Caenorhabditis elegans: one gene and its partner. The protein of the gene in region 1 interacts with the protein of each later gene in a pairwise test. Each region holds a gene or a part of one and is shown on either strand. Other genes may lie near its edges. The genes, in order: cnt-2 and ifbp-1.

Region 1 (4,839 bases):
ACTGCGTAATGTTCAAAAGGAGAGGAGGTGAAGGTGGAGAAGATAATTGATGTTCGAACATTGGCGTAGGAGATGAAGAGAGAAAGTTTCCGATCCAAATTGACATTGATATTGGGTGTTCCCAGTGTTCCACTACAGCTTCGACGCTGTGTAGTTTTCACAATAACGATGTTCAAGTATCGGAAAATCGACAACAGACATTGAAATTATTATTGAAAGTTGCAAAAAGTCTCTTCGATTCTAATGTTGATAACACTAAAGCCAATATAATACAAATTGCAGAAACATATATTCGTTGGCCGTCGAGTTGAAAATCAAAGTTCCTTGTAAACTCAGTAAATTTTAAAACTTAGCGTAGTGCTCGATTTAACTGAAATTCAAGTTCTGAACTAAACCCGATCACTACTGTCAAAAGGTAATTAAAATCTTGGAACTTTGCCGGAAATTTTAATTTTAGATTATTACACATTCGGCACTGTGCTCTAAAACTACGTGATAATCGAATAATATTTCCCTGTGTTTTATTTTGAAGAACAATATCTACACATCATGCCAAACCTGCACTGAAATTCTAGGAAAATCCCAATTACCAGTTTCAACGAAGAATAGAAAAGTCGTGAGAAAATCCTACATTTATGGACTTTTCAGAAAAACAAATAGTTCCGATGCGTTTCAGCACTGCTTATCGGAGTTCTTCTATTGAATTTCAAAAGAAATAAACCAAAATAGATCAAAAGATGGAAAATTGACCTCTCCTTTATTTGAGTATCCACTCAATTTCAGACATTCTTGTTTGTTTGTTTTGCCGCGACGGCGGTCTGGAAATAAGGTGAGAATACGAAACCTTCTCAGCTAAGTGACCAACGATCGCCCGTGAGCCGCCTTAATTGACAGCTCTTTGTGTTTATTACTTTGGTAAGTACGCAGGTGTTCCTAGCATCCTGTGCTTGTACCAACTGTCCGGAAGTACCCAAAGATTTGAATCTTGTTGCAAAATGTCTAGGTACAACAACATAGAATCTCGAGGTGTCATCATCGTAATTTGTATCCAACCAAGAGTTGCGAGAATCAAAGAGAACGCCGAGGGTGAGAACAACGACGAAAGAGGAAATCCTGTCGTCTGGCGAGATGCAATACTCTACTTCTTTTGAAGATGAGCCGCTCGCCGCTCAATTAGTAATCTCATTAAAATGAGGTGAGGGCAGAAAAATTTGAGTCAAAATCTGGCTGGGAGCAAGTTTCAGATAGGCTTAAGGAAGGGAGCATGTTATATAGATTATTTGGAAGAAATAGAGACTATCGGTAATCTAGTTTTTTTTTGGAAAATTTTTCAAAAAAGTGCCTAATATTTTGGAAAACAACATATACATTTTCCGACAAATCTCAGATACACCGTAGGCCACGCGTGACGTCACCTACAACTAGTACTTGAGATTAGCGCAGGTGCTAATAATAGCCGGGTTTTACACATGTACGTACAATAGCATAATTCCCGCTTACGGAATCTAGCACAGCTGGCTTCGAGTTCAAAAAGTGCCTATTTTCTGTGATGAATTGCGCAATCATTAAAAAATAAATGATAGACGTACTGTTTTTGCAGTGATCTACATCCAAAACTTGATGTATTTGGGAGTGAACCAAGGGTGGGCGGCAAATTTGCCAACTTTGCCGGCCGTACTCGGCAGATATTGGAAAAAAGAGATTTGCCGCATCGAAACTCAAAACCTCAATATGTTCTGAGAGCAAAAGGCGATGGTCGAATAATTACTGTCTTATAATCATAGGTGGGTGGCCAACGATTTTTTTTCCGGCAACCCGACAAATTGGCGAAATTTAAAATTTCCGGCAATTCGGCAAACTGGCAAATTGGCGGAATTAATATTTCCAAATTGAACTGTTTCATCAATTTCTGGTATTAATTCCCCCTTTGTACTACCTTATCTACTTGAACTAAATCTAAGTATGACCAAACCTAATAAATTATTATTATTACTATAAATCTATTTATTAAAAAACGAGCTACCATCATCTAATCTCATCTCTCTCTCTCTGGGTGGTGGCAATTTGTCTCAAAGGATCCGAAATGACCTTCACACATCACGAGATACCCATACGAGCAGCCACCTGGTGACCGCTCTGGAGCATCATTTGGTAATGTGACACCTACCGAGAGCAAACTATATATAAACATTTTATAGTGTTATACAATAAACACAAAATAATAATTTTTGCGCGGTACCGGGAAAACTCACCAATTTCATCTCACTGATCGACCTGCTCAGCGTCCATTCGTGTGAGTTCACAAATGCATCTGAAAATTAGAGAAATTTAAAGTTTTTTCAGAATACACAATATAACTTTTTTTTTGCTAAACATTCAATAAAATTATTGAACCAATGTTTTTACGTTTTTTAAGTTTTTATAAATAAAGTCAGTTTTAATTTAAATTGATGTTTTGTGAATGCTCTTTACCATGATGATAAGTAGGACTTCTAAAAATTCTATTTTTCGCGGAACCCTGTTGCTGCCGCCTGCTGGCCTGAGCGATAGAAGCCGCTGGATATATCACATAGGACGGTGTTGGTACTGGAACAATATCATCATAGTCCGTAGTGGTATGTGACGATGATGACGTCATCGCATCATCCGAGTAACCCATCGACGTGCTCGTCATGATCCTTCTCGGAGGCATCGGAAGCGGCGGAGGTGGGATGTAACGGTGGCGGGATAGGGATCCAGATTCTCGTCGTCTCGATGGCTTTTCAGATCGGAATGACACAGAAGACAGGCTTCTCGTAGCAACGCTAACATTCGAATTCTCCTTATCCTTCCGTGATGAGTGTCTACTATTCGGAAACAGTAGATCCCTCCACCGTTTCTTTTTCCGTTTATCGTCACCGGCTATCTCATTTGCATTTTTATCCATAGTAGTCTCCTCAAACTCTGTCGGATCATGAATTGTCGTGTTGCCACCTCTCCACTCATTCTTCCCATAGTATATTCGACTTTTCTGTGGTTCCATATAGGATCGCGAGCTCGTCACCATCACCGTCGGGCGGTGTGCAGAGGTGCTCGGCGCCACATTTAGGAGATCATAGTAATCGTAGTTTCGGATGAGGGGCATGATTGTGTCAAGAAATGATCATTGGGGGATGGGGGGAAATGTAGAGATATCTGGAAGAGTTGGATATTGAATTAATTTAATTTAATTCAAAGGTGAGAAGAAAGTGAGATTGTAGGATAACGAAGGATATTAGTTGCAAAATATGATCAGGTTAGAAAAAATGAGAAAATTGAGATACAATTGTGACGGGACCCAATAAAATATTCGGAAAAAAGAAATTCGGATACATTTTTAAACTCATTGTTCTTGGCTCTCAAGGTTACTGTAGGTTTTAAGAAACACGTATGTTTATTAGAACTTCAGTAATGTCCAAAAAACCACAAATATCAAAAGGAAGTAGAAAAAGGAAGTAGTAATGAAAAGTTAACATTAAAAATATTAAAGACCCACAAGTTTGGGAATAAGTGAATTTTTGACTTTGAAAAATGCTTACTATTCAAATTAGGGCTTCCATGTAGGCATGAAAACGCCTGCCTGAATAACCTTGAGGCAAACCCGACTGCCTCTCGCCTCAATTCGCGCCTCAGGCTCAATTTGTTTTTCATCAAATTCATAGAAAGGAGAATATTAGAAGTTTGTAAATTTACGTAAGAATACAAAAAAGAGGCTAAAGGCAGGCGTCGGGCCCTGAAACCAAGCCTGCCTACCAAGAAAGCCCTAATTCAAATTAACTAGTTCAAAATTCTAAAACCTGCATAGAGCAACATGTAGATTCTCCAGTAAAATGTCATTTTCGATGCCAGCGCGGCCGACGAGGAAGAAAAAAAGAAGAAGAAGAAGAAGCAAAAGACAAACAAAACCCTGATCGAATTGATCGCGTGAACACAAAAGTCAGAACACTTTTCGGAAGTGTCATGCTGTGGCGATGAGGGGGGTGCCGAAATGTGTGTGTGCCGTTGACGGGCGAACGAACACATTGTGCCTCCTGACCCCCGGGCGCCCGTTACAATGAAAAAGCGGCGGCGGTGGACATTGAAAACGGTTGTTGAAGACGTCGTTTGAGAACAACCAACTACTACTTCATCTCATTCAACCGTGTTTCTTTGCTTTTCACCGTTTTTCTTTGCAAAGAACAATGAACCAACGTCGCGTAGGGGGGCAATGCGCGACGATGATTCCAGAGGCCTCATTAAAGAAAGTTAATGGATTCGTTTTGATACACTTTTGCCTTTCAACTCTAATCGTAAGGAGAGAGAGGAGATATGTGATATCAGAAGATAATGGAACTCTGACACCTCATTAAAGAGTTCTAATTGGTTGAGCTCTTGAATTTTGCAACCATGTGTCGATTTACGCAGCTCGTGAACTCCCCTAGGAAATTAAGAAGAGGATTCAACAGTTTTTTTTTTGTTGAAATTCTTCTCTTTTCATACATTCTTGCTAATTTGTTGGGAATTTTTCGGTGAAAATTTTTCCGGCAAATCGGCAAACCGGCAAATTGTCGGAATTGAAAAATTCCGGCAAACCGGCAAACCGGCAAATTGTCGGAATTGAAAATTTCCGGCAAATCGGCAAATTGTAGGAATTAAATTTCCGGCAAGTCGACAAACAGGCAAATTGCTGGAATTGAAATTTCCGGCAAATCGGCAAATTGCCGGATATGAAAATTTCCGGCAAATCGGCAAATTGCCGGATATGAAAATTTCCGGCAAATCGGCAAATTGCCGGATATGAAAATTTCCGGCAAATCGGCAAATTGCCGGATATGATAATTT
Region 2 (5,274 bases), on another chromosome or scaffold:
GAGAAAAGACCTTCAATCAGTTTCTGTAGTAGTCCTTCTCCTTGGGATACTGAATACTAGGTCACCATTTCAATCTCTTTTTTTTCTATTTTTTGTGTTTTTTTCTTTCTCTACCCTCTTTATTGTTCTTGTTTTCTGACCGTCACTTCGCTTTGCACCCCGTTTTTGAATTTTAAACTCCTGCTAAAAGTTATAAATACGAATGTGGGAAGATCGGCTCTTTTTGTTTGGATACTGATGAAAAGTCCTATCAGCTTAAAATCATGAATAGTTTAACAGCACCTTCTCAAGCTTGAAAAAAAGTAAATGTGCAAATGCTCTGCTCAAAGCCCCGAGTTGAAACAAAGTTGTTTACAAAATTATCTTGGTTTAGGTTTTTTGTTCAAAATATCAGTAGTGCAATTACACATTGTTTATTCTACATTTTTAGATCCATAATTTTCTAAAACAATATGATAATTCTTTCTGAATCATCTTTTTTTTCAGTTAAAGGCACTTATCGAGAATTCTTCTTCCCCCCATTTATTTTGCATATCTATTGTGCCAACATGAAATTTGCATTTCTTCCCATTTCTCTTCATTTTCCTTTCATCCAAACATCCACGTTTTCTTCCCCATTGTGCAACGTGGTGCACCATGTCACAGAGAGAGATCTAATCTCCATATTTCTTTCATATAGTTTTTCTTGAGCTTTCAGTATCAATGAACTATGCTCCAAATAAATATTGGTCGGCCTAGCACATCTATGGATGGCCTTATCGGAAGGTTTCTCTCACTTATTCTCATGACTCGCCAATTCGACTTTCACTTGTGTTTCTATCTTTTCAAAATGAAATCACACACCTCTACTTTGGTCTTCGTACCGCTTATCAGTTGTTGGGAAGGGTTTTTCTCCAATAAGGAGGGGTTTAGTGACCTTTCAAGCCTTGTTGACAATTAGCCATTATAGCGTCTAGGAAAATCTAGAACTGATAACAAATAACAAAACATCTAAAATCTAGAAACAGGAACATGTTGATCTGAAAATTGAGCAAATTGATGTTTTGTGCAACTGTGATAAGTCAGAAATTTTGATCACTTTTGATAATAGTTATTCCCCCAACAAAACATTTGAAGGTCTCAAAAACAGAGGGAGTCTCCTCATTTTTGCATTTTCGGAGCCAATTTTGAGTTGCCTTCTTCCATTCCAATTCCTTTATTAAGATGCAGATCCGATGCTAATGATATGCACTATCCATACGTCTTGTGGAATATGAATGAGGAGAGGTCGAAGACTCGGAACCCACCTCTTTTTCTTTTTATTTTTTCTCCTGCAGCTTTTCTTTGCCAATTCTTTGTACACAACTATAGTAATACAATGTGCTCAATGCGTCACTCAGTGCTTCGCCCCTTACTGTCTCCTTCTATTCGTCGATTATTCATAGAGTTCTTCGTCATCCAAAAAAAGTGTTACACATCGCTGTAATAGTTCGGACCCACGCATGCTCATGGTTTTGATATTTTCCATTGTTTATTTGAAATAATACAAAAAAATATTCGATTACCCTAATAGTTTACCAAGTCATGGAACAACCCTGTTTGTGTGCAACCAGAGCATCAGCGTTCTGTTATCAGCTGCCGGCTTTTCTTCTTTTATCACTAAAAAACCATGCCTAGTTTTTTCACCTCTCGACCCTATTCGTCTCGGTCAGGAATCTTTCTTATCTCTAGAATTTCTCCCTCTCTTCCATCACGAACTTGAAACGCGCCATTCCTATTCCTCTACCCCATCATTCTTGCAATCATTCCTCTCGTGGAAATGGGCTCGTTCGCTGAGTCGGCTGCTCTTCTGCAGGCATCGATGTCTCTTTCTCCAACACCTTCTATAATTAACAACAATAATACTGTCGATTATTCTCTATCACTCCAGATGCTCGCGGCTCCGAACGCCGTCTCATTGGCCTCTGTCAACGGTTCTGCTTCACTTCTAACTGCAACAACTGCTGGAATGAAGGCGAATAATAATTCAAATGAGAAATTACCAAGACAACAATGTTACCTGTGTGATTTGCCACGCTGGCCGTGGGCAATCATAAATGATTATATTGAGCCAGTTTGCAGAGGATGCGTCAATTATGAAGGATCAGACAGGTTTGTTTGGAAATAATGATGATGAAAATTCCTTTCGATTTTAAAATTTTCCAAAGTGAAAGTCACAAGTTTTCTTATATTGATACAGGACATGAAAATTTGACACCCTTTTTCTTATAAGACTGCAAGCTAAAAGTTTGTTCTGTAATAGATTTCCTAAAGTTTTTAAAGAATTTTTTTTTTGAAAAAAATTAGAAAAAGAACATATTTTTTTGACGATTTTTCTGCCGAAATTTTTTATAAATTGCAGGACTTCACGATCTTATAGTTTTAAAAAGGTTTCAAGACCAATTGAACTTTTTTTGTTTTTTGTCACCAAATATCTTTTTCTGTTTCAGAATTGAACTCGTACTTGAAGAAACACGCCAACAAAAGAAACTCCAAGGAGTTGGAATCAGTGATCCACAGAATGCAAAGACATCCCTCCGAGATATTACACTTACACAACAACAACCCCTTCAAACATTACCAGTCACTTCTGCTAATGGAATCGGAAGGATAAGCCCACAAAGGACACCTCAGCCAACGGTACTTCCCACGTCCCCATTCCATGTGCCAACTATGAACAACTTGGAGGTAAACATATAAAATTGAAAACTGCAATAGTTTACAAATTTATTTTCAGCAAGTTCTGACCCATCAACGACTTCTGCAAATGACACAAGCCAATCCTCGGGCGGTTGACGATCTTATTCAACAGTCTCTTCGAAGCTTGGGCCCAAATTCTCATCTCTTGGCTCCATTCATGATGAGCATGCTTCCAAGCACAACTTATTCAAATCCAAGAAAACGTGAATCTGACGAAGAGCAGAAGCCTGAAATATATGGAAAAGTGCAGAGAGGTATGTCAGTTAGAATTTAAAATTGACATCGTCCCAAAAAACCGGTTGTTGCGTAAAGTAGTAGTGCCCCCTTCTCTCTCTCCGATTAGCCCGTGTATCGTCTCTCTGTCACCCTCTCGAATTGCGTAATACCGATAGACCCGACAGAAAACCAGCCGAATTTAGAAGAATTAGAAGAAAAGAGTAGCGAGTTGAATGAGTGACCTCGAGAGAAATAAAGGGCTAGATATGGGGTCAACACTTTGAAAACGGAACCGGTTTTAGAGGATGGTAGTGTAGTTGGTTGTGGCGTCGTTGTCGGCGCCTGGCACCCAGGGTCATCACCCCCTCATCATCATCATCTTCTATTTTTCAGGCGATGCCCAAACGACAACTGCCTCGCCAACCTCAACTCATTCACCAGACCATCCGGGAGTTAAGGATCGGAGAGGGATCGCCCCAATTGAGAGAGTTTTGAGATGTACACTGTGCAATGAACGTCTAGAAGACACCCACTTTGTACAATGCCCAACAGTCAGCATTCACAAGTTTTGCTTCCCATGCTCGCGGAGCAGCATCAAGGATCAATGCAAGAGCAGTGATATGTACTGCCCATCAGGCGATAAATGTCCATTAGTCGGATCAGCAATGCCATGGGCATTCATGCAAGGAGAAATTGCACAAATCCTCGGTGACGAGTATGACGAGTTCAAGAGAACCCGAGAAGCTCACGGTCTTGCTCCACCGATGGGTGCCAACGCAGCGACTCTCGCCGCGGCAGCCGCGGCAGCTGCACAGGTATGCCCTTATCAGATTGTGTGAAACTAATTTGTTTGTCCAATTTTGTTATTTATGTTTGGAACTAAATCACCCGCATTTTGCATGGTTTTCAGTTGAGACGGAGACAAAATGCTCAAAGAGCCCACCCTCATCGCACTCTTACACGATCCACAATTAACACTTCTACCTCATGTGTAAGTGATTACTAACATATGACATTGACTAGCATGCAAAAAATTGATTATCGGATTCAAATAAATATGTTGCATGCCCCTAACATCTATTATTTAAACTGATTTTTTTCATTTTCTGAATGAATTAATTTTCAGAACGGCGCCAATCAAACATCTCCAGCCTCCACAACAACTTCTGCGGCTTCTTCCACATCTGCCGCCACGTCACCACAAAACTGATAACCTGTGACGTCACGGAGCACATTAGGCACAAATATTTTTTCTTTCAATCTCTCTTTTTTCTCAGTCCCACTGAAACCGTTCAAAGCTGCACTCAATGCTTTTGTCTGCTTCACCACGATCTCTACTTTTTCCCCCTTTCCAAGTTTTCTTTCTCTCTCTCTCTCTTCGGTCCCAACTACGGTGTGATTTCAAGGGACATTTGGTAATAAATCTTGAGATTTTTTTCCTTTCTCATTTCCCTTTTCCTCGATTACGCTTTTCACTGCTTTTGGGATTTACGGTTTCTTTTCTTTTTTCAGTCCAAAAACTTTGTAATGTTCGTACCTTATCCCCAGTCCATTCTCCCCTGGAACATTGAAAATTCAACTGCCAAACAAATCAAAAAACAACAATCCCACCAAAGCTTTCAGTTTATTTTTTCATTAATTGAATAAAGCTTTGATCAGAAAACTTAAGATATAGTTTGAGAAATTGCAAATTTTCACATATTCTCTCACGAATTCCAAGAATTCAATGTGAAAACTCGGTATAAATTCTACAAAACTTCGAATGATTAGAATTAATCAGAAGGATGGAAGGAAGATATTTTAGATCTGTTCACAAAAATAGTTCCAGTCCTCGATTTGGGCTTCAACAATCTGCGACACCATTGCGGATGTATCTCAGTATGGAAATATAGCATGACGCTTCTGTAAATGTTTCCGGAAACTCTTATCAACACGTTCGACCAACGTCCACTCACCCGTCCAGCGCATGAATCGATAGAAAACTGACGGACAGAAAAATGAACTGATACCAAATTGCTGAATTGAGTTTGAAGAGTATTGTGCAATTGATCATGTCGATCAAGTGAAGTGTGTCTTGCAGCACACTCTGAAATATGGAAAAAGGAGATTCCGGTAAAAGTATTCATGTGAAGATGAAAATTGTTTATGTATTTGTTCTCGAGAATAAACAAAAGTTGATAAAGATAACAACGGTCAAGAGTTCACAAATTTCATCAATTTGCAGAAAATCGTGTCATGAAACAAGCAAAGCAGAGAAGTGTGACGAAATTTTGAACTACTTCTATGAATTCAAAGTTTCAAAATAATGTTTGTACTAAGCCGATTTCGACTATTGCGGTC

What was found.
Region 2: the proteins of cnt-2 (region 1) and ifbp-1 interact in a two-hybrid assay, tested with the Caenorhabditis elegans proteins (one large-scale study listed by BioGRID).

Annotation. Positions count from the first base shown.
Region 1 is NC_003281.10:10,661,946-10,666,784, reverse strand, and holds the start of cnt-2 (Arf-GAP with ANK repeat and PH domain-containing protein cnt-2), read right to left. Parts: upstream 3,177-4,839; 5' UTR 3,125-3,176; coding exon 2,473-3,124; intron 2,312-2,472; coding exon 2,253-2,311; intron 1-2,252.
Region 2 is NC_003283.11:13,369,423-13,374,696, reverse strand, and holds ifbp-1 (Interferon regulatory factor 2-binding protein 1 & 2 zinc finger domain-containing protein), read left to right. Parts: upstream 1-1,676; 5' UTR 1,677-1,798; coding exon 1,799-2,130; intron 2,131-2,468; coding exon 2,469-2,706; intron 2,707-2,755; coding exon 2,756-2,972; intron 2,973-3,327; coding exon 3,328-3,749; intron 3,750-3,844; coding exon 3,845-3,925; intron 3,926-4,060; coding exon 4,061-4,144; 3' UTR 4,145-4,602; downstream 4,603-5,274. Other genes in the region: srx-125 (7TM GPCR serpentine receptor class x (Srx) domain-containing protein), read right to left, coding at 4,707-4,836, 4,890-5,020.